4 linked regions of the Arabidopsis thaliana genome follow. The protein of the gene in region 4 binds, or shares a complex with, the protein of the main gene of each other region. Each region holds a gene or a part of one and is shown on either strand. Other genes may lie near its edges. The genes, in order: XPB1, UVH6, AT1G18340 and GTF2H2.

Region 1 (7,317 bases), on a different chromosome or scaffold from region 4:
TTATTATGTGAATTGATTAATTGATATTAGAAAGTTCTTTCCTTTTTTTTGATATTTGTTTTCTAGCATATCATGATATCGCCTCGAGAATACCTTTGAAAATTATTTTGTTATTGTCAACTGTCATGATATCTCGCTGAACCAACATATAAAACACGATTATAATTTGGTTGACAGATCCTGAACAACAGTAAAACGTACTTAGTTTTCGAGGTTAAAAAATAATTACTTGTCATGATTTCGAATTAAAAATAATAATGGGCTCAATTTGAGATTAAAGAAAGCCCACGCTAAAAGAGGCCTACTAAATGCCCATATTGGATCCGTTATTGTAGCCTTTCTATATATGAATCGAGTTTGCATTTCTGCTATAACGTTCTCTGCATTCACATGATCACATCAACTCAGTAACGGACTCGACATACCCGGACCTGGACCCGACACCGAATCCGAATCATAATGCGACGGAGACGCAGCTCGCTTCTCGGTCTAGCTTACAACGGAAAATATTTACGGTACCGTTTGTTTTCCCTCTGTCGTAGAATTTCTGTCTTCGACACCGGATTGATATAATCGATTGAAAAGACAAGAGATAATGTCTAAAATTGATTCGATGAAGAGAAAAAGATCAATATGGGGAACGATAAAAGTCTCGATCTTACTGATTTTGGTTAATTTTCATATTACCCTGCAAAAAAAAGTATTGTCAATTCTGGGGAATTTTGTTGTTCAGGTGAAAGATGAAGAAGACCCGACTCTGTGTGTTTTTTCTTTTAAGTGTCGTACTGATGAAGAAGATCTGGGTCAATTAGTCATCCGTTATGGCCCAGTTGTTAAGATGTTATCCAAATCGTAAGAAGAAGGCCCGACATGTTTTTGAGACGTTGGTAAGAAGAAGGTCTTGCTTCTTTTGTGCATCCAGATAATGTCTATATGACCAAGGTAAGAGCATCCTCATTGCACATCCTCCAATGAATGTCTTTCATATTAAATAATATTAAATTTAAAGACCCTCTCTCTTTTGACAGGTAAAATGTCTACTATTAAGACACATCCATTTATTATTTTCCACTTTTTTAAGTAGTTTAAAAGTTTAAAGACACCCATAAAAGATATGCAATGAGGATGCTCTAAGGGACCGAGATTATATACTGCTGCAGATGGGGTAATGTAATGCTATTTGTCTTGTGCAGGAGCGTTGGATGTACATTGGTCTCCTCTTGGTTCATACTTTGTGTCACTTGAGAAGGAGAAGAACGTGGCAACTCTTTGGGCATTGAATCGTCTCCCATTCTCAGACCATGTACATTGCACAATTTTTATGAGTATCATAAGCCCAAAAATATTAAATTAATGAATAAAATAACTGATTTGGGTTTAAGTAGTATCACTGGAGTGATTTCTTTGATACCAGTCTCTGATAACGTGGCGGGTTATGATTAGTTGGGAAAACATGTTTTTGTGTGAAAAGAGAGAAATTTTTTTTTTCGATTAGTCGGGAAAACGCATCTTTTCGATTTTGCAATTTTTTTTTTTTAATGATACTAATACGATTTCACCGGTGGAAACAGATTTATTATCAATATTATAAAAAGTTTCAAACAATAAATAAACATTAAAATTAATAGTAAAATATTATTAATGGTACTCTATGAGTACCAACTATGTGCATGCTCTCATGCGCTTTCCTTCCTCATCCTATGGTTTGTCTTTCATCTCCCATTTTGCATATGTAAGAATAATCTTAGAGGCTAAAAGAAAAAAGAATGGGCTCAACGTGAGAATAAGAAAGCCCACATTAAAAGAGGTCTATTAAAGCCCATATTTGATCCGTTATTTATTTGTAGCCTTTTGAATCTTCTACTTTACATTTCCCTTCCTTGACATTAATGATTAAACCAGTGATACCCGAACCCGACACCGAATCCGATTCAAAATCCGCCGGGGACGCAGCTACTCCCTCCGCCAAATAGCTTTCAACGGTAAATTTTCACGGCGCCGGTTGTCTTCCTTCTTTGTTCTTCTCAGGAATCGCTAATTGATAACTTCAATTGGAAGATACAAGACAAAAAAAGAAGATCAATATGGGAAACGGTATTAAGCAGCTCGATCTTACTGATTTTTGCTTAGTTTATCTTGCCAAACAAAAGTATGCCAATACTGTGAAGTTCTGTTGTTCAGGTGAAAGAGGAAGACCTAACAAGAAGATGAAGTATGGTGGCAAGGTTCGTCTTGATTCTTCTCCAGATCAATTTTTTATTTTATCAATTAGGGCTCTTCAGATGGTAGTTAGTGAGTGTAATTGTACTGTCAAATCTCAGGATGATCAAAAGATGAAGAACATCCAAAACGCTGAAGATTACTATGATGATGCTGATGAAGACTCTCGTGATGGTAAGATTGTAGCATACTTATTACTTACAAATGGATACATTTGGAACAAAATTGAATTGAAAAGTTATAATGGTTTTTGAAGGTGAAGGAGAGGAGAAGAAGAGAGATTTTACTAAATTGGAGTTGAAGCCAGATCATGGAAACAGGCCTTTGTGGGCTTGTGCTGATGGAAGGATTTTCTTGGAGACATTTTCTCCTCTCTATAAACAAGCTTATGACTTTCTTATCGCCATTGCTGAACCCGTTTGCAGGTTCGATTTTGATTTGGTGATTATATCAATGTACAAGTTATGATTTTTGTTGTTGATTTTCATTCATTTGTTACTATTTCAGGCCTGAGTCAATGCACGAGTATAATTTAACCCCACACTCGTTGTATGCTGCTGTTTCCGTTGGTCTTGAGACAGAAACTATCATTTCTGTTTTGAATAAACTGTCTAAGACTAAGCTACCCAAGGAGATGATTGAGTTCATCCATGCTTCTACTGCTAATTATGGGAAAGTAAAGCTGGTTTTGAAGAAGAATCGGTATTTTATTGAGTCCCCATTCCCAGAGGTAAGTTCATTAGGCTGATGCTCTGTCTCTGCTCTTGTGTATTTGGATATTGGTTTTCGTTTTTCCATTGCCTTTGCTCAATTGTAAACACAAAACAATCTCAGGTTTTGAAAAGGCTTCTCAGCGACGATGTTATAAACCGAGCTAGATTTTCTTCTGAGGTATGTTGAACTCCTCCATTTAGTTCATTATGTTTGCTTTCAAGATTTTATGCTGGATGGAAATACATACCATTTTTGGTTGTTCTCAACGGTGTTTTGCATCTTTTGTCACCAGTGTGGCAGATATATATATATTTTGATTCTCTCAGGTTCTTGGTTTCATGTTTATATTCCTAACTCCTAAGTTCCTTGGAACGATGTTTCAGTTGGTAAATTAACTCATAATCCTTTTTTCTTAAACTCTTGATTCATTGACTGTTGATTTATTTAATCTAATACCATTGTATTCTCCACAGTATGTCGAACCAACTTAGATTAACTTTTTTGGTAGCCATATTATGGCGGTGATGGATTCTCGGTCGGCAGAACATGCGGTGAACTTGAAGCAGGACCCGGGGAGCTATTGAATGAAGCGGAATTTGCAGCAGCAGCAGAAGAGAAAGAAACTCACTCATTTGAGATTGACCCTGCACAGGTAAATTTCTCCTAATGCTTCTTAAAAGTAATCGAATTGATGAGTTTGGTAAAGTTGTATGATCTTTACTTAACTCGTGGTGTCATGCTCTTTTTCTCTTGGTGTTTAGGTGGAGAATGTGAAGCAGCGTTGCTTACCAAATGCCTTGAATTACCCTATGTTAGAGGAATATGACTTCAGGAACGACAATGTGAGTAACAAATATTACACTTCAGGCCAATTTTTGCTTACCAGATGATATGCACCGCAGGTGTGTGATTGTTAATAACTTGATGGTGTCTCTCAGGTTAATCCCGATCTTGACATGGAACTGAAGCCCCATGCACAACCGAGGCCATACCAGGAAAAAAGTTTGAGCAAAATGTTTGGGAACGGTATAGCTGTCTGCATCCACATTATTTTTCCTTATTGATGGTGAACTTCTCATAGATATGTCCACTTGTACTTCCACGTGACTGATCTAGCTTTATGGTGAACACCTAATAGATAATTATCTTTGTAATTTCTTGAGAAATATTGTGACTGATCTTGAATCTTGGATTTGCAGGGCGAGCAAGATCTGGGATTATAGTGTTGCCTTGTGGTGCTGGTAAATCTCTAGTTGGTGTTTCTGCAGCTGCTCGTATAAAGAAGAGTTGTCTTTGTTTGGCGACGAATGCTGTCTCAGTGGATCAGTGGGCCTTCCAGTTCAAGTTGTGGTCTACTATAAGAGATGACCAAATATGTCGTTTCACTTCTGATAGTAAAGAACGATTCCGTGGAAATGCTGGTGTTGTTGTGACAACCTATAATATGGTTGCCTTTGGTGGTAAACGGTCTGAGGAATCAGAGAAGATTATAGAAGAAATGAGAAACAGAGAGTGGGGGTTACTGCTCATGGATGAGGTAATCAAATTGATGTTAGTGTTTGCTGGTAGTTATTTTGCGGAAAAGTCATATGTTCGTTGAGAAGGTGTATCCAGTGTTGAGCCCATGAATGCGATCTACAAACAATAAGTTTCCATTCTATGCTTGACTTTTCAAGATTTCTGTTTTGTTTTAGGTGCATGTGGTTCCAGCCCATATGTTTAGGAAAGTTATCAGTATCACAAAATCTCACTGCAAGCTAGGACTTACAGGTAATTTAAGGGTTCATTTTCACATACATTTACATATGTATACTTCAGTTGCAGAAGCTAAGTTTCTTTTTTGGACTTTTGTTCAGCCACCCTTGTGAGAGAAGACGAAAGGATTACAGATTTGAACTTCCTCATTGGCCCGAAACTCTATGAAGCCAATTGGCTAGATTTAGTTAAAGGAGGCTTTATTGCAAATGTTCAGTGTGCTGAAGTATGGTGTCCCATGACCAAAGAGTTTTTTGCAGAATATCTAAAGAAAGAGAACTCCAAGAAAAAGCAGGTTCATGAATATATGCTTTTTTGCATTTTCTGAAAATAATATCTGAGATTGTTAGATATCTGATCTTTATGTTAGTTTCATCTGATGCACTAGAGTCCATGAATTTTATGTAGTCTGGAACCTTGAAATATTGTAAGCATCAATATAGGTTCTTTTTTTAGTGTGCTTTTCTAATTTGGAAAATGCTCTAATAGAACCACCATGGAAAGTCTATGGAATTGGAGCTAGTAAACCTTGACAGTTGTTCTGACATGGGTCTTCTGGTATCTGCAGGCACTTTATGTCATGAACCCTAACAAGTTCAGAGCCTGTGAGTTTCTGATTCGTTTCCATGAACAACAACGTGGGGATAAAATCATTGTCTTTGCAGACAATCTTTTTGCGCTTACAGAGTATGCGATGAAACTCCGGAAACCAATGATTTATGGTGCAACCAGGTTCGTTCAAGTTCTATTGATAACACACTTTTTTCGTTTTCACTCAATTTCCAATTTGATAATTCAATTTTTTTTTCAATATGTAGTCATATCGAAAGGACAAAAATTCTCGAGGCGTTTAAAACCAGTAAAGACGTGAACACTGTCTTCCTGTCAAAGGTATAAACATTGTTTCCTTCATTATATAAATTTGTCCTTCCTCCATTCCATGTTCGTTAGGGAACTTAATTTCCGTTTGGTTTATTTGACTACAGGTTGGTGATAACTCCATAGATATCCCTGAAGCTAATGTGATTATCCAGATTTCGTCACATGCTGGTTCTAGACGTCAAGAGGCTCAGCGTTTGGGTCGTATTCTTAGGGCTAAGGTTTGAATTTCGTACTCATCACTTAAGTGTCTCTTTTAGTTTCTCTTGTTGGTTGGATCAAATTTTTTTGATATTTCTCCATATGATGAAAACAGGGTAAACTCGAAGATAGAATGGCCGGTGGAAAAGAAGAGTACAATGCATTCTTCTACTCACTTGTTTCGACAGATACACAGGTAAATCACTAAAGTGAAGTAGGCATAAAAACTGAATTTCCTCAGACCGAACCCGAATTAGAACCAAAATATGATTCAGTTCTTGCCCGACCTCGTTTTCTAAAACCCGAAACATGAAACTTGAACTGATAATACAAACACCCGTACTCGTATCTCCATGTGAATGGCTGATTTAAGGATTGTGAATGTTGAAAATGCAGGAAATGTATTATTCGACGAAAAGACAACAGTTCTTGATAGACCAAGGTTACAGCTTTAAGGTTATAACAAGCCTCCCACCTCCGGACGCGGGTTCAAGCTTGAGCTACCATAGTCAAGAAGAACAGTTGTCTCTTCTTGGAAAGGTGATGAATGCTGGAGACGATCTGGTCGGTTTAGAGCAACTCGAAGAAGACACAGACGGAATGGCTCTACAAAAGGCGAGACGAAGCATGGGATCGATGAGCGTAATGTCCGGTTCAAAAGGAATGGTCTACATGGAATACAACTCAGGCCGTCACAAATCCGGTCAGCAATTCAAGAAACCTAAAGACCCAACCAAACGACACAATCTCTTCAAAAAACGTTACGTGTGAGAGAAACAAAGAGAAGCTTTCAAGAGTTTTCGGCTGTTTGTTTCGAGTTGTATGTAACTTTTGTGCAAATTTGTTGAAATTAACAAATAAATTACTTAAATTAATAAAAAAATGTATGATGTATCATGTATGTAAGTATTTTTTTTATTTTTATTTTTTGTAAGTATTATGACATTGTTTAAATATGTAAGTGTATGTTTCTATTTCGAGGAGGCTACTTTGCAATTGTGGAGGAAGTTGGTAAGATAGTAAGATACCCTCACCAAACACAAACATGCACAACAGCAAAAATGTATAAAGATAAATCGAGATAAAATGAATTATCAATGTTCGTCCCACGTAAGAGGAATATTATTTGTTAATAATTCTTTCTTTTTTTATTCCTATGTATTTATATGTATACCTTTTGTATTTTTATAAGCTAAACCTACAATTAAAGTTCTGTGTAGGTAGCATTTTGACCACTTTTTCAGTTACATTGATTTACTTAATTTTTTGTCTATTTAGTCCTAACGGATTGATATTCTTTATCTATTTCTTTGACAAGCTTCATGATCACAAATCTTCAAATGGCCAACTCCCATTGGTTGCAAATTATAATGCTCTATACTATCATTTGAAGCATCTTATTTCATTAAAGTGTACTCTTATAAAAATCATAAGTGTGGAAAAAAAAACGAAAAAAAAACATAATTATTAGAAATACAAGATATTTGAATCCAAAGTTAATATTAAGATTGTAATAAATGTGGATTATCATAATCTGTATGTTGAATA
Region 2 (6,632 bases), 670 kb from region 4:
TTATAAACAGTATTTCTGAACTTCTAATGGAAACCTACAAAAAGAATGAAAGCTTTATTACGGAGGAACGGAAAAAGGAAACTTGGCCGAGAGAGACGAAAATACCTAAATACCCCCCTTGGGAAAAAGGAAAATTTGGCTCAAGAGAGGAAATTCCCTAAATAGTCTTCGGGAAAAAGGAAATCTGGTTTCTCGCACGTTGAAAAATTAGCCTGCGTAATAACGGCTAGTGGGTGAGCTGGAACTCCAACTGTTGGGCTTTGCAAGTGCCCAATGGGCTTCGACAGTTTTTGAGGCGGTTATTGGAGACAGGTGATTGGGTCGTCGCACTAACTCTGCCAATTTCAATTCCACTTCTACTGCTTGGTTAAATTTATTTAATCATTCTTTAAGATTTTTTTTTTTTAGTGGTATGTTTGATAGATTTAACAAGGAGCCGACGAAGTATTTCTTGATCTAAAATGATGTAATGAGTGAATATGATAATCTAGTTATCTTAACATTAAGCATAAATTTTGCTAATTTCAATAGATTTAAAACCAAAACGAAACTTTTACGAGCCTTAAATTTCAATTCGATTCTTGAAAATCATCAAGAAAAAGAACAAAATACCTACAGTGAAAATTTTTGCTACAACAATTTTTGATTGACCTAAACCAAAAAATAACAAACAAACTGATTTACTAATAAGCCATGTCTTGCACACCAGTCTCAGCCATCTTCTCCAAATCTTCTTGTGTCAACAGAGTTTTCCTTCCCATTGTACCCGCCTTATCATACGGTTGAGCCATTTTCCGAAGAAACTGCAAAAAAAACAAAAACCAGGAAAATTGTTGATTCTTTATGCCTTGTTGTTTGTTTCACTGTGAGTTATAAAAAAGCAGCGAGTTATAGGTTTACCTCTCGAGCAATGTGAATAGCCATATCAGTGCTTAGATTCAAGTGTGCATCACGCAGATGCGAAAGTATCCAACCAGGTAGTTTGGACCGCTTATCATGACGGCTGTATCTGCAAGTTTTACCATCAATTGCAGTGTATTGTTAGACCATAGAAATGTGACATTATAAACCAACATAAGCATATATCTGTGTCTCTCTTCTGTCCTACGAATATTTTCCCATTCCTAAGGAACAGTGTGAACTCTGTTACAATCTTCTATTCTCGAGGTGATCTCAGATACTTGCGCATATACTTATTATCATACTAGATAGATTATAGAGAGAATCCCATTTAGTAAAATAGCAAGAATCTAAATGACCAGACTCAGAGAGAGAAAACTTAAGGCGGGCATGTACCTTTTGTCTGCAAATATCATCATCCCATAATCAGCCTTTGACCGGATTACTCGCCCTACACATTGAGCTGCTTGCCTCTGTGTTAAAGCCAAAAAGAGTTAACAACAGTCACAAACAGGTAAAAGAGTTGCACACCAAAATCTAATAAGATCATAAAATAAGAATCATACCAAGGCATCAAAAGTTAGGAAATCGCCTTCTTTTATTTGAAATGTATCGTGCAAATACTCCAATCTTGCTCGTAATATCCTGAAATTTTTCCCGTTTCCATCTTATCATCTCCCAAGTACGATGAAATATAAAAGCAGAAAACCGGAAATTGAAATGATAAACATTCATTTGAGTACAACTTACTTGCTTAATGTATACTGGAATGGTACTCCGTACATTACAACCAGTCTTCCATAATGACGATCAAAATCGATACCTTCAGCAACTTTCCCCCTGCAGTTCAAATACAAAATTTGATCACTTTCTTTGAAATTTCTCAAAAGTGAAACCTCTTTAATATTTGTTAACCAACCAAGAATAGGAGAGAAGAGACAATTCCAGTATTATAATACAGAAACAAAGAAGCAGAACCAAAGACGCATTGCAATGAATTCCCAAACCATCTACCATTCAAAAATAAAAATTTTACCTGGCCACAGAGAAGAAAACTGCACCTCTTCCGCAATCGCAAGCCCTGCGATAATTATCCAGTGCCAATGTTGTTTCTACAACATCTTGTGTTTCAATGAAAACAAGCTTCTGTTGCATTATTTCCTACAAACATTAAGAGAATTGGTAATATCAGTAAACAAATATACATTAATGCCTGAAGCAACTAAAAATATTTTGAGGTATCATAAAAATTCCAATTCATGCAAAACTCTGAAAAAATTACTGGCATGGTAAAGCGATGAAGAAGACCTTACCTTCAGAATTCCAGTTTCATTCCATGTAGCAATAATGCCATCCATATATGAGTAACTAACAAAGAAGCAGACAACTCCATCAGGAACAATAGATACCATCTCTACCAAAAGCTTTCCGTAATTCCTCACAACACCAGGATCACTTCTCATGTCAAATTTGGTGCTAACAGGAAGCTGATCACTGAAAAAGAAAACAACCAATAATGTCAAGACATATAAAATTAAAAAATAAGTTAAGTGTTCAGGATTCTTTTTATATACCACATACCTTCCCCGAGTTAGAACCATAGGGCAGATGCAGTCTCGTGTCATTGACATCTTAAAGCTTCGACTAACAACAGGAGTGAAATTAAGAAGACGGGGGTAAAGATCAATTGGGCTCAATGTGCCTGATGTAATCACGACTGACTGGAAACGATCAAACACCGGTTTGATCGCCAGAGACGCATCATGACAGCTCAACTAAGATACAAAAGGATATATGTTTCAGATACAATTCTCAATTATTCAAACGGTAGCATTTACGTGTGAGTCATAATCCCTTAAAATCCCAGTGACAATACTCAAAAGAAAGTAGGTCAACACCATATTTACCTGCAATATAGGATCTGGAATATGGGGCATTCTCTCGTCATAAGGCTCGATGATGATGGAAAATCCCCGGGCATATGTCCCAACAAGAGTTGCAAAGTCGCACACTGTCTGGATAGGCAAAAACTCATCTGTATCTGTAATTTCAAGGGTTAGCATGAGAGACTGGAGCCGGTCATAACAGAACTTCAGTGTTTTCTGCTCAATTCCAGCCTGAGAATTCAGTGACGATACAAAGCTAACAGGGCTTTCTTTCTCTACATTCTCAGTGTCCAGCCGTACCCCCAAGTACTGAAGTAATCGGCGTAAAACATGCACAAAATGCTCAGCCCGTCTAATATTCCCCGGGACAGCCTCCTTTAGAATATCATGAGGCAGTGCAGGGTTTGCAAGCCATTGATCACCTCCTGCAAAAAAAAAATTGTTGCGTCAAGTTCATAGAATTAGAAAATTTACTGTGTGCTTTCAATCAAATCACAGATCACCTTCCTGAACACATACTTACCAGATAAGTCCCCTCTCAGTGCTAAACCCTCAACCAGCCGGTTGTATTCAGCTCGCAATCTTCCTGCATCAGTAGCCTTGAACCTTCCTACCAGTTGGACAATTTCAATAATGTAATAAGAACTTAAAAATAAGCATCAGCAAATAACCAGGTCACTTCCTGTATTGAACCAAGAAAATTATGCTTCATGTGTTTAAGATGATGACAAAAGCGTTTGTAAATTTTTGTTCCCCTTACAGTTCTTTGACAAAAAGCAGTCTCATAAAACCAGATTATTTTCTTACTAACTTAAACTTCCTTAAGAAAACCAACAATTAGCAACTGGAGTGAGCAGACACCCAGATGGCATTCAAGAACAATCAGGAAATTCAATTGAAAAAGAAAAGACCCTATCACTGTGTTTATTGTTGTATTAAGAGTGGCACGTTCAAGAGAACTTAAGGAGTATCAGCTATATAGGAAAAAATTAGCGTACCTATCAATTTCTTGCCTTATCTTATTAAGATTTCGATTAGCTCCTTCAAGTGTAACCCTCCTCACACTGACGCTGAGTGCTTCAATACACACGTTATCGATATTATGGGCCTCGTCAAACACTACAACTGACTCTTTTTGTAACTCCTTTGATATGAACCCAGCAACCTTAGGATCCAGTAGGTATTGGTAGCTGTAAACAATAACGTTGGCGAACTGAATCATATGCCTCGCGAGAAAGTAAGGGCACCATCCACGATTCTTACCAAACGCCCTTAGATCCTAAAAATCGAAACACACATATACCATCAGGCAAAATGTGCAAGTAACCTCGAAATAAGCATTCCAACTAAAACATAAACTTGATCAAACAACAAATGTGAAAAACCTTAACTTTTTTAATCTTACCTCTAAAGTATAAACACCAGGAGGCAACAACGCATTCTCAGCAGCCTTTTCATAGTTCTCAAAGAAGTCACAGAGTTCTACATTTGGATTCTCCGTGGACAAAGCCCTAACCCAGCTAGCAGTTCGTTTCCTACAGGCCGCATCAACAGAATCACGATTCTCGGCTGCTAAAACCTTAGTATTAACGCAAAGATTCTTCCGAGAGGAAAGACCAAGGGCGAGGATCTTAGCCTGGGTGCCGAGATGGCGTACTTGGTAGTCATGTAGTAGCTTAAGCTCACCTAACGTTTTCTCCATCTCGTGGACAGTACGAGTACAGTAAACAAGCTTGATCGGAGAATCAGGACGAGAGAGTCGATAGCTGGTGATTAGAGAGAGAAGAGCAATGGTTTTACCAGTTCCGGTAGGCATCTCGAGAAGACAATGTCCCTTAGCGTCTAGGGCTCGCTTCAATTCAACCATGTATTCATATTGTTCTGGATATATGTTGTCATAAGGGAAGTAGACAGTTACGTCTTCGATTTTAAAGATCATCTTCTTCCTCCTACCTAGAAATCGAAATTGGCATTAGAACTAACAAAACCCTAAAAAACTCGAATTCACTTTAGCAAAACAAGCGATTCAAGTTGGAGTAGATAAACCCGAACAACGAGAAAGAAGGAACAATTGAGATCAAGCGAAGAGAAGATAACAGGAGAAAACTTACAGGTGATAATGGAAGCTTCGATGTGTTATCAACGACTGAGAGAGGAACCGGTAGCAGCTTCAAGGTAGAAGAAGAAGAAGAAGAAGAAGAAGAAGAAAATTTTGCGTCTGTGTTTGCCGAAGTAACCAGAGCAAACAGAAGAGGAGGACTCTTATTAGAAAAACTTAAAGCTTTGTTTCTTTTTCATTCTGACCCCCTATTTATTTATTTTAATGCGTTTGACCCCCTAACTTTATGTATATTAAACTTCTCGACAAAATTAGGTTTTTAAATGTTAACAATTCGTCCAAAAATATAAAATAGTTGAACAATCCTGATTTTGTTAAAACAACAGAGTATTAGAGTATGCAGTAGTAGTAGTACAATGTCATCTCAAGATTTGGAATTGTTTCAACAATGCTGGTTTTTTTCTAAAATTTGCAACAGGGTTTAGTTACAACAATAGAGAGATACAAACAAACTCTAAAGTCTTATTCTTCAACTGGTTGATGGAAAGCTAATCCCTTTATCACATGTCGACATTGATACCTGCAATGACACAGTAAGGCATGGTCAAGAACTTGTTTAGTGTGTAACTGGAGAATTGTGAATAAGAGAAGTACCATATTAGATCATTTGTGGGAGGAGAATTTGTTGCATTGTCTTGCGTTCTGCACTTGAATCTCAACTTTGAAGGCACAAACTGCAATAATAAAAGATGTTTGCAGGTGACGGAAAATCGGAATGTTGTACATGGATGTGTGAAATAGAATTAGCAGAGAAGTGTATACCTTTCTGTTGTATCTGAAGTCACGTTTAGGAAGGAAATGTTGTGGAAGATTCAAAGTAGGTGGAGCATGAACCAATATGAAGAGCCTCATTGGACCTGCAACTCAGAAGAAGGGAAAAAAATCATTACACCATAATTCACAACAATGCTAAAGAAGTTTGCAATTTATGCAAAAGTTACCTGGGTAGGAAGTTGATCCAGCACCCGTCGAGATCAGTGCTCGGATAGTCTGTAAAGCCAAGAGTGAAGGGCTCAACCATTTTTGACTTATCACAGCAGATAAAATTGAAAAGAGACAAATCACAAGCAACATGAAAACAGAGGTAAGAAAAAGAATAAACCTTTTTTGAAAGTGCTTCTGCAGCTTTGGATTTAGCAAAGTCACCTTCGTAGCCTAGAACATGGTCTCTGCGTTGTGTGAATAACAACTCATAAGCATTTTGAGGCCGTAATGGACTACCACCAAGAATCAACACAACTTTCTGAATGCCAGGAGCTTCACGGATCATTAACTGCAGCGCACTTCGGAGACTAGAGATGGTTTTCATCAGTTTCTCCAGTTTCTTAATCTCATTCTTCACCTCTCTCTTTCTACTCATCAGTTTTCTTCTAACCAGTGGTTTCACTTGAGGTTCTGCAAGATTCGTCTCCTACAACCTAAGATTCTTAGAGTGTGAAAAAGACCTTAGACCTTAAAGTGAAAATGGCGTCTGTAGGACTAACATACCAAATCCATAAATTCAGTTTGCAATCCTTCAAATTCAAGGCTCATGTCTTGTAATACCCTGCACAGATGTAAATAACCAACAACAGTCATATTGGTAGAAGGAGCTTTGTGTAGCCAAAACCAAAGCTGCAAATTGAAGTTTCTGGTTTTCAGTAAAACACTCATAGTGGATACAACAGACTTAATTCTAAAACCAAAAGGAAGTAGTGTGCACAATTGCGTAGAGCTTTTCAATTTCT
Region 3 (4,687 bases), 4.9 Mb from region 4:
TGTCAATGATAATCAGTTCGCATAAACAAAATCCCATATTTTTGAGAAACTGGCGAAAATAAAATTGAGCAGAAGAACAAATTTACCGTTTCTTCGGTAACGGCGGAAAGAATCAAACGGAGAAAGAGGATCGTCAATGGAAGAAGCTCTTTTTATAAGGTCATGAATCGTCTTTTTCTTCTCCAAAATCTGCACGACAATTCTCAATTATCGATTTCGAACAAAATCAAAGATCGAAATTTCGAGTGCTATGAAACATACACATTACTTCCGAGATTTTTTTTACCTTTCGCCGTTTCTTCAAATCCATTGCTCGCCACACCGATGATTCTCTTCCCTCTGTCTCGTTCGTTCTCCACGTCTGAAGTGATTCGGTAGGAGACGGATCCATCAAACGGGTTTGGACCCGAAATAGATCCGACAATAATAAATGACGTCAGCCCAAATGTCGTATTCGTTCAAATTCGATAGAGAAGCCCAACTTTCTATATGGACTATTAGAGGCCTTTTTGTTTTGTTTGCTCAAGTCAACGGGTACTATCTCAAGGAAAAAAAAAGAGTCAAAAACTTTGCAAAATTGATTTCACTTTGATATATGGTATAAAAATTATCGAAAATGAACGCAAAGACACAATTAAACAAAGTTTGCAGTTTCTCTCTGGCACAAAAGATGATTTTAGGTACTAGGAGCTTTTCTCTTCTTATCAGAGGCAGATGAAGCATCATCAAGTTTAGACTGACCAAATACAGACCTGCAAATTTCCAAAAGCTTTTCGATATTAGTATCAAACAACATGATAGATTGTTATCTTGAGAAAGAACATGACGGGTCAAATCTCTTACCCGCAGGTTGAACATTTCTTGTGATGCTCACAGAAAATGGACAGACACACTGAGCATATGTAGCCCATATCTATTGTCTTCTTGTGGCAAAAGCACCTGCAAATTTTGTACTTAAAACCATCTGTTATATATGCAGAGGAAGACCCGATTAATTGAAGAGTTAATGACTTGATCACTTACGATGCGCGAAAATCTACACCTATGGGTTTAGGAAGTTGTACAAAACCGCGGGAGTGCAAATCGGTTGCAAAGATTGTCTTTTGTGCAAAACAAAACAATCCAGAGTTAGCAGCCATTGAGTATTGAGTTCGCTAAATGAGAGACGAGTCACATAATGGTTTGCGTTTGGACTTGAGTTGCGTACCGTTAGATATTGAAATAGCCCATCCAACTGTTTAGGTGTATGATGTACACCACCAGTTATATAAGATGCCTACAAATAAGCCAGGAGATAACAGCTGACGCATAGGTCCAGTTTGACGAGTTAGAATCATGTATAAAGGAGAAATGATATTACCTGCTGCAAAAATGCTGAGTTCTGTACACCTATGTAACACGAATCAATGGGAACCTAAAGAACCAATTGATGAAGTGATTTGGGTACATGATACTGGATTTAGAGAACATCAAGAACCGGAAATCCCAAAGAACCAATCAAAATGAAGATTACCATCAAGCGTTGGGCAGAGAAGATAGAGTTCATAACAGCAACATACCTGAAAGAATGACAAAACCTTTTAATGAGACCAGACAAACAAGACAAAATCTTGCAAGTAGAAAAAAAATGAAGGAAGAAACATACTGTTCCGGGCCATCTGGGGAACCTTGCAAGCATAAAATCTGTATTTCATATAAACGTCAATAGCACAATCAGTTCTGTATTTTGGGGGTATACGATAGAACAGATAACACATAAGAAAAAGGAGTCTATATTCTCATTAATACTTTAAGCTGAAGATTCATACAAAGCAATCAACATGAAAAGTTTTATCCAAGACAACTGATTGATACATATATCCTACTGAACACTCACCCGAGGCTGGGGATGAAGATGTCCAGAACGGAAAACCCTCTGTATATCTAGAGCCATAAATTAAGTCAACAACAAAATGTGAAGACTGAAAATCAAATACATATATTACCAGATAACATTGATGGCCTTAGACATGCTATAGGTTTAGCTGAGAACAAACATGTCAACCTAAAATGTTCCTTACTTAACCCAGTCTAGAGAGAAAGCTAAGCTTCAAGATCACTGCCAGAACTTATGCAAACAAATCCTAATAGTTTGTACTATATATAGCTTCAAGAAACCTATCATGATGCTATATGCTTTTCCAAGAGGATACAGCAAAGAGCCATGGAGAGTGATCCTGACAAGAGACAAGAAGGTATTCTATCCTCAGACACTTCCTCCTTGCTGAGCTCCTCATCTTTGGTAACAAACTCTTCCAATTTCTTAAGCAAAGAACCAAAAATTGCAGGCATTCCAGTTCCATTGCTCTCGAAATTTCCATGATTTGATGTCAAAGACGAATCATAAATGTAATCACAAGAACTGTATCCAGTAGCTATAACTACAACTTGGTTCAACTGATTTAACCCCAAAACCGCATTAAGAAACGCAAGCACCTACACATAACAGCAGCAAGCTTTCTGCATAAAAATCGAAGCATTGAACAAACAAACAATAGATTCGTTAGAGACACTTACATGAGAAAGGAACTGAGAGAAGGTAATCGATGTAGTGCTCCAGAAAAGAGGATTCGTATCAAGCAACAAAACTAGAAGACTAACATCGTCTGCGACCAAAAAAACAATCACGAGCCAATCAGACTTGTTTCCAGTTTTTGGGATATCTAATCTACATACTTATACGATTGAGGAATGTGAGGGTTTCGAAGTAAGAGGAATTTAATAATAACCTGAATACTGCTTAGAAGCAATGGCAGGCATAGTTTCACAGACGATTCCAAGTCAGAATTTCAGTGTGCCGGGAAATCTTCCCGGTGGGAACGAGATCTGATAATGCTATTTCAGTGCCGGGAAATCGTTTTTTTTTTCTTCTCCAATATATCTTCACAACAGGTCTTTGAGTTTTCCGATTACGAACCAGAGTTAAAGAATGAAATTCTCGGATGCTATAGTAACTTACTGAAAAATTCAAGGATTTTTAGCTTATACAGAAATCTGAAGTGATTTGGTAGGAGCCGGATCCATCAAACGGGTTTGGATCCGAATCAGATCCGACTATAAACGTCGTATCGTAAGCCGGGCTTACTAAGCCCAAATATGGCATTAGTTCAAATTTTTAGATAGGCCCAGTTTTCTTTATGAACTAAACCGCCTTTTACAAGGGCCTTTTGTTTTCTTTGTTCTTTCTTTTGGAAAAGAACACCAAAATCTCAAGGAACAAATTTATTTTTCAAACTGGCTACTGATACGAAATTCAGTTTATTCAAGCTTTATACTATCGGACGTCGATATATTAATTTTAATGGTAAAAAATTTTGGTTGAAATGTTGTTTGTTTCAATACTAAAAATTAGTAAATTCACACATGTCCTGATATCCAATCCATCCTATGAAACTATAGTCATGTTTGGAGATCGTCTTGATATATAATACATGGGGCATAAAAAGCTTACTACATTTTTTTGGGAGTAACAACTAACAAATAAACAAACAAGTTTTTTGGTTGGAAAAAGAAGCAAATCACATTCATAAAGGTTTGATTGACTTCATATAATTTGATTGTTATTCATTTGATTGACTTCATATTATTTTTATTCAGTATTCTTTGGATATATACGCGCATGACAATCGACATGCTAAATACTTGTAATCCGTAGGGTCATGTGTGACTGTCCACTAAGAATCTGAAGATCTAATCATAGTTTTTACTAAAATCATATTAATAATTAACTTGGCAATATTAATGGCGATGGCCATTGGAAAGCTTTTGCATGATGGCCTAAATATAACTTATTGTTTGGTCATTTTCATTAGAAGTCCTTAGCCTCCGAGGTACATTGAACCTCACAAATTCACATTAAACTTTAAAATCTCCTATAGTTTAGTATATGAAAATTATATAACTAAATTCCACCAATGTCTTTATGAGTAAATAATAATCTTACTATCAAGTCAAATTAATATCACTAAAATAAATGTTTTGAAAGTATTATTATTTTTCAACAACAATGGATTATGTGTTTGAATGTGAAGATAACGATTCTGATAGGTAACACAAAGCTTTAAAGTTGTTTTAGCTGTAAATTAGAATGCAAAACTATATAAATAAGTAGTACAAAAAGTTAAAAATAACGTTTTTATAACGCTTTTGTAATTTGTAATATCACGGTACATGCTGTACCAAACTTTGATAATTGAGTTACCATTCAAAATCACTAAAACAAACTCTTTAAATGCATATAAATCTAATCATTAATGCAAAACGTTAAAAGTAACGCTTTTATAACGCCTTTGTAATTTGTAATTATCACGATACAGGCTGTAACAAACTTTGATAATTGAGTTACCATTCAAAATCACTAAAACAAACTCTTTAAATGTATATAAATCTAATCATTATTGCGTAGATTTATCTCAATATACACAAGCCACTATAGCCAGGTTCCGGGTAAGTAGGACAGATAGCAGTCCCATGCATTTAACCTCGTGCAAGATAAACATAAACGGTAGACACACTAGTTGCCATTTTTAGATACAACTCAACAAATAATAATTAAGATAAAGAACAAAAAAGAGTGATTAACATTTAATGGAAAGATTTATTAGCTTCCCAGGCTCCTCACTTAAATCCCACTCAAGTCTCCATATAA
Region 4 (4,468 bases):
CCCTTAATATTATTAAATCACCCACCTGGTGGCCAAAGCACCCGTATCAGAGCTTTTCGTTATGGTTATCTCATCTTGGCGCATCTTCAGCGTAAATTCCGAGACAGAGGTAGTAGAGTATCTTCTTCTTAAAGGAGATCGAGATCGCTCTCGCCATTCATTCACCCTCCGTGGAGTCGCTCTTATTTTGAGCGGAGGAAGTTGATCACCGAGGAAACCAGAGATGGCGTCTTCGAGATTCCAGTCGAATCCTTCAAGGTAGTAGAATGCTGCATCTTTACACGCAGACGTTGCCTTGCAGAACCTAGTGACGTTAGTATCTTCTTCCTTCATGGTGGTGTTAGGGACTTTTCTCAAAGATTAAGTACGTTGTTTACTTATGACAATCACTAAGAATTGTTTCACTTAGATCTAATATAAAAGCTTCTAACAAACAGAGAGATATTTAGGGAAGTAGTTGCGACCTTGTCATGACAGTATCAACAAACAACTGATGATACGGTCTCCTTTTGTTTACCACCGAAATAATTCTTTATTACTACTGTTCGTTTTCTCATGAGTGAAGAAATTTCAAGCCCAAGTTAAATAGAAAATCAAACAATTAAGAATGCTATCTCTGAAAATTTGAGTCGGTTTGTTTTGGATCAATTGTGAGAGAGCAATAGAGTCCACAAAAGAAGAAAGATTTTGGTTAAGGACATAAGACCAATTACAACATCCTATATCACAAAAAAAATTGCTTCCTCTCATCATCTCAATTGTGATTTATAATTGGAAGTGTGAACACATTCATTCTCTCATTCTTCCATCAAAGAAACTGATTTGGGACGGTGAATGCTCTCACAGCCAGGACAGTTGTGTAAGCTCTCGTGGATGTATATGTCACAGTCCAGACAGAAATAGTGCTTGCATTTACGACATGTTACGCATGGGACGGGTTTATTCCCTAAGCAAAAAACAAAAGCACCAATGAGCCTTTATATTTGAGTGAATGGATCGGTTACTTTGTATATACTATGACAAGGGTGAACCGTATCTTAAGTTCAACTACTGGTCTAGTGACCAAATGGTTATTCAACCAACAGTATTAAGACTCTATAAAATGGTGTTCAAGTAGTTACCTGCACCAATTAGGCTCTGTTGGCAACCAAAACAACTCTTTCCCAATTTTCTCCGATTATCATTCAGACTTGAAAGTGCAGGCACCTCATCAAATGGAGCAATCGGGAAGAGATGATGGTATGATCTCGCCAAATGCGGCGAAGAAACAAGTGTTAGACCGCAGATAGTGCATTCCGTAGGGAGGTCACATACCCGAGCTTTGCATCTTGGGCACATGTAACCAGCTCCAATCTTAACTTCCTTATGACACGAACAAATCGCCATTGAACCCTCAGCAGCTCTTTGTGGGAAACCCATCTTGATCAAATTTGCAATTGCAAATTCTGCTATTGCCGGAGGTGGAGGCGCATGTTCAAGCAGAAGATCCTTTAGATGCACCTGCGTGAAAAGACAAATACACACAAAGCACAATGTTATACCATACAAAACAAGTTTTTCAAAGGTCCAAGTGTAAGTAGAAGGTAGCTAAACTCACCTCGTCCACTGCAACTGAATACAATCCGCCAGTTTCCTGGCAGAGGTGTTTACATATGAACATTTCTGCAGAGAGCCCAATTACAGAACATCTTAATTTGGATTTCTTGCATTTTTGAATGGTCTCCATGATATCGCCTGGATCACATGTGCATAAAGCTGAGTACAATATCAGAACCTCGCGGTGACCATAAGATGGAACCTGGTTGAGATGCTCATGTACAAGTTCCAGAGCGTTCTGCAAAGAGGAGTCACCCAAAGCTTCCAACTTCCCCATCAACGCTTTGATGTGAGTCTCAGGACTACCACCAAGATCTGTTAATGTATGCGCAACTCCATTTTTTATAGAGACCAACCCAATTTGACTCAGAGGATTCTGGTCAAAGAACTCTCTAATGAAAGCTTCGACATGTTTGGCCATTATAGCCATCCGGCTTGGTCTGAAATCCATTTCCGCAGCTGCCTAGACACGACAAAACAGTCCAAAGTGTAAGACTTTGCATACCTTGGAACTAGAGAAATTTGAACCCAAATCATAATGTTGCCTTCAATAAAGAATCTGAATAAGGATCACATCCTTAAGCTCTACAAACCCACTTAGAGTAAGATTATCATTGCAAACAATACAGAGCCAATTATAGAACCTATTGAGAAGACTAAAGAGCAGAGATCTCCAAAACTAGAACGACGATTACATTAAAGTTACTTATCAGTGACCCAAAGTGCATAGTTTCTCTTTTATATAAGCTCTGATGAAAGCAACATAAGCTCAATTTCACGCCATCAAACTCAAAGGAAACGGCATTGAAGCTAAAAATCACAAAATCAGCAGCAGCAGCGGCGGATTGCAAAGAAAAATATTTACCCGAGAGAAGTCAATGACGATGTAGAGATATCGAATAAGTCCCTTTTGGATACGAGTACCAGCAGCAGCGGCGGAGAGCATACGAAGACGGCGGCGATACTGAGCATGGTAAATGGCACTGTTATCAATTGGCCGTAAAAGTCCAGACTCATCCTCTTGCAACTCCTCCCAGGATCGGTCGTCAACATAAGCTCTCTCCCACTCGCCGATACCTTCCGCATCTTCGTCGTCCTCTTCTTCTCTTTCATCGTTTGATCTCTTTCTTTGATTACTCATCGTTAACCTCACCGTCTAAGAGACCTAATTACAAAAAGAAGAAGAGAACTCTACTGAAGCCAAAATTTACATAAACAACCCTTACTTATTATAACGTTCACAATTTTGACTGTAACTTCCTATTCTGTATATTTAACCCACCAATCCATGTCCAATCAGAAGTGAAACATTTTATTTTGCTTACACAATAGGAAACATTGATATTGAAACTCATAAAAACTTTATTATACAAAACTTAAATCACTCGATACAACCTTTATACAGCAACATTGAAACTTCTTAGTTCTTACAGCACAATATGATAATTTACCTAAGATCTTATTGAATCTTACAAACATATAGAACTTCTTCTTTGACTTTCTCTATCCACATGGTTACACATTAACCAAAGGTCTTGGCCTTTTAAGATTTAGGTCCCAGAATTTTCGAAAGCTCCTTCAAGATTGGTTTCTCCTTGATAGTATTACCACCTTCATTCTCAATATGCCACTTCTTCGACATGTTTTCAGCCTGAAATTTATGGTCTTTTCGGGTTAGTCTATTAATGATTATGATCCACTTCAGTTGAGAAGATGCAAGTATCTTTGTAAAACATTACCCAAGTTCTTAAGGGCTCTACTTGTTCCTTCATCGACTCCAGTTTTGGCTGAAAAAGATCTTTGCCTTTCGTTCTTATGTCATCAGCCTAACAGAACGAAAATCATACAATAAAACCAAGTAAGGCGATGATGGCATTCAAGATCAGTCAATAATGCTTAGAAATGCTAATCTAAATGATTTAAGTAAGAAAATGGAAACATATGCAATCTTACATTACGCATGTCAAGTTTCGAGGCTGCCGTTCCAAAAACCAAAGTGGCTGAACCAAAGATGATAATAGTAGCGGCTGCAAATGCTTTTCCAACTGCAGAAACCAGAAAAATCAGAGGGCTCGAGATTAGGCAAACTTTCCGAACACTTCACGACATCAATTAACATTAAAAGACAAAAGACAATAACAGAATCTCAATCTAAGCAATATTATCAACAATTTCTAGGCTGTGAGAGAGATACTTAGATTATTTGTCATCAGAGTCAAAAAGAGACAACCAGAAAGCAGTTGTTACATTAGACACTCATGAACCCTCAGCCACGGAAAATCTTGGCTTTCATAACCAAACAAACCAAAGTTTTCTCTAGTAAGCTGAAACCTTTCAGAATTACTGCCATTGCAGTCCCTAACAAGGTAAAATAGACAAGTTTGGGCAAGCAATTTACATGATCAACATTAACAAAAGCAAGGAAGTGAAAACAGAACACGTAAAGATAGCAATCCTTCTATCTCTAGCAAACAACCCAAATCTAGTCATGTTCCTCTGTAGGTAACTGTATCCATAAATCCAATTATCCACGTTCAAAAAGATTTGATTTGCAGATAAACAAAAGAAGAGAAGTGATCATACTATGTTGAAGCCCTTCACCAGCAGCTTTCAATTTCTCAGGATTTACAGGAGTGCCGTATCTGTCTCTCCTCAATTCATTAGCTGTTGACGCCAAAACCGAATTCTCAGATTCCGGTAAATCCCATCTGCAATAAAAATCGACACAAATTAACAACAAATCCAAAATTTTGAAATACTCATCAAGTGAAACAGAGTATAAAACCCTAATTTGAACCTTCTACGGCCGAAAGTGACTTGTGGCAGAGACACATAACCTCTGAGAGGATTCAAGACATCAGGGGATATAGAA

The links.
Region 1: GTF2H2 (region 4) and XPB1 share a complex: the UniProt entries of both Arabidopsis thaliana proteins name them as parts of the 7-subunit TFIIH core complex.
Region 2: GTF2H2 (region 4) and UVH6 share a complex: the UniProt entries of both Arabidopsis thaliana proteins name them as parts of the 7-subunit TFIIH core complex.
Region 3: GTF2H2 (region 4) and AT1G18340 share a complex: the UniProt entries of both Arabidopsis thaliana proteins name them as parts of the 7-subunit TFIIH core complex.

What each region holds. Positions count from the first base shown.
Region 1 is NC_003076.8:16,549,253-16,556,569, forward strand, and holds XPB1 (DNA repair helicase XPB1-like protein), read left to right. Parts: upstream 1-1,866; 5' UTR 1,867-2,084; coding exon 2,085-2,094; intron 2,095-2,181; coding exon 2,182-2,225; intron 2,226-2,321; coding exon 2,322-2,394; intron 2,395-2,476; coding exon 2,477-2,645; intron 2,646-2,727; coding exon 2,728-2,950; intron 2,951-3,054; coding exon 3,055-3,111; intron 3,112-3,442; coding exon 3,443-3,586; intron 3,587-3,695; coding exon 3,696-3,776; intron 3,777-3,872; coding exon 3,873-3,960; intron 3,961-4,133; coding exon 4,134-4,471; intron 4,472-4,628; coding exon 4,629-4,704; intron 4,705-4,790; coding exon 4,791-4,984; intron 4,985-5,257; coding exon 5,258-5,421; intron 5,422-5,507; coding exon 5,508-5,580; intron 5,581-5,675; coding exon 5,676-5,789; intron 5,790-5,884; coding exon 5,885-5,965; intron 5,966-6,165; coding exon 6,166-6,540; 3' UTR 6,541-6,786; downstream 6,787-7,317. UniProt on the Arabidopsis thaliana protein: ATP-dependent 3'-5' DNA helicase/translocase; binds dsDNA rather than ssDNA, unzipping it in a translocase rather than classical helicase activity. Component of the general transcription and DNA repair factor IIH (TFIIH) core complex.
Region 2 is NC_003070.9:773,915-780,546, reverse strand, and holds UVH6 (RAD3-like DNA-binding helicase protein), read right to left. Parts: upstream 5,021-6,632; 5' UTR 4,898-5,020; exon of another isoform or gene 4,740-4,897; 5' UTR 4,726-4,739; coding exon 4,192-4,725; intron 4,066-4,191; coding exon 3,785-4,065; intron 3,393-3,784; coding exon 3,310-3,392; intron 3,212-3,309; coding exon 2,808-3,211; intron 2,676-2,807; coding exon 2,482-2,675; intron 2,395-2,481; coding exon 2,214-2,394; intron 2,062-2,213; coding exon 1,937-2,061; intron 1,741-1,936; coding exon 1,651-1,740; intron 1,546-1,650; coding exon 1,467-1,545; intron 1,374-1,466; coding exon 1,297-1,373; intron 1,010-1,296; coding exon 901-1,009; intron 804-900; coding exon 684-803; 3' UTR 503-683; downstream 1-502. Other genes in the region: AT1G03180 (non-structural protein), read right to left, coding at 5,368-5,425, 5,500-5,579, 5,668-5,762, 5,847-5,895, 6,008-6,316, 6,394-6,451. UniProt on the Arabidopsis thaliana protein: ATP-dependent 5'-3' DNA helicase, component of the general transcription and DNA repair factor IIH (TFIIH) core complex, which is involved in general and transcription-coupled nucleotide excision repair (NER) of damaged DNA and, when complexed to CDK-activating kinase (CAK), involved in transcription by RNA polymerase II.
Region 3 is NC_003070.9:6,310,936-6,315,622, forward strand, and holds AT1G18340 (basal transcription factor complex subunit-like protein), read right to left. Parts: upstream 2,997-4,687; 5' UTR 2,800-2,996; coding exon 2,769-2,799; intron 2,646-2,768; coding exon 2,557-2,645; intron 2,476-2,556; coding exon 2,193-2,475; intron 1,924-2,192; coding exon 1,877-1,923; intron 1,684-1,876; coding exon 1,646-1,683; intron 1,560-1,645; coding exon 1,514-1,559; intron 1,415-1,513; coding exon 1,361-1,414; intron 1,277-1,360; coding exon 1,208-1,276; intron 1,101-1,207; coding exon 1,024-1,100; intron 940-1,023; coding exon 844-939; intron 753-843; coding exon 677-752; 3' UTR 508-676; downstream 1-507. Other genes in the region: AT1G18335 (Acyl-CoA N-acyltransferases (NAT) superfamily protein), read right to left, coding at 87-189, 287-391. UniProt on the Arabidopsis thaliana protein: Component of the general transcription and DNA repair factor IIH (TFIIH) core complex, which is involved in general and transcription-coupled nucleotide excision repair (NER) of damaged DNA and, when complexed to CAK, in RNA transcription by RNA polymerase II.
Region 4 is NC_003070.9:1,448,116-1,452,583, forward strand, and holds GTF2H2 (general transcription factor II H2), read right to left. Parts: upstream 2,787-4,468; 5' UTR 2,738-2,786; coding exon 2,462-2,737; intron 2,060-2,461; coding exon 1,598-2,059; intron 1,501-1,597; coding exon 1,122-1,500; intron 947-1,121; coding exon 798-946; 3' UTR 516-797; downstream 1-515. Other genes in the region: AT1G05040 (UBA-like domain protein), read right to left, coding at 26-333; AT1G05060 (coiled-coil protein), read right to left, coding at 3,140-3,247, 3,336-3,422, 3,550-3,641, 4,180-4,304, 4,394-4,468. UniProt on the Arabidopsis thaliana protein: Component of the general transcription and DNA repair factor IIH (TFIIH) core complex, which is involved in general and transcription-coupled nucleotide excision repair (NER) of damaged DNA and, when complexed to CAK, in RNA transcription by RNA polymerase II.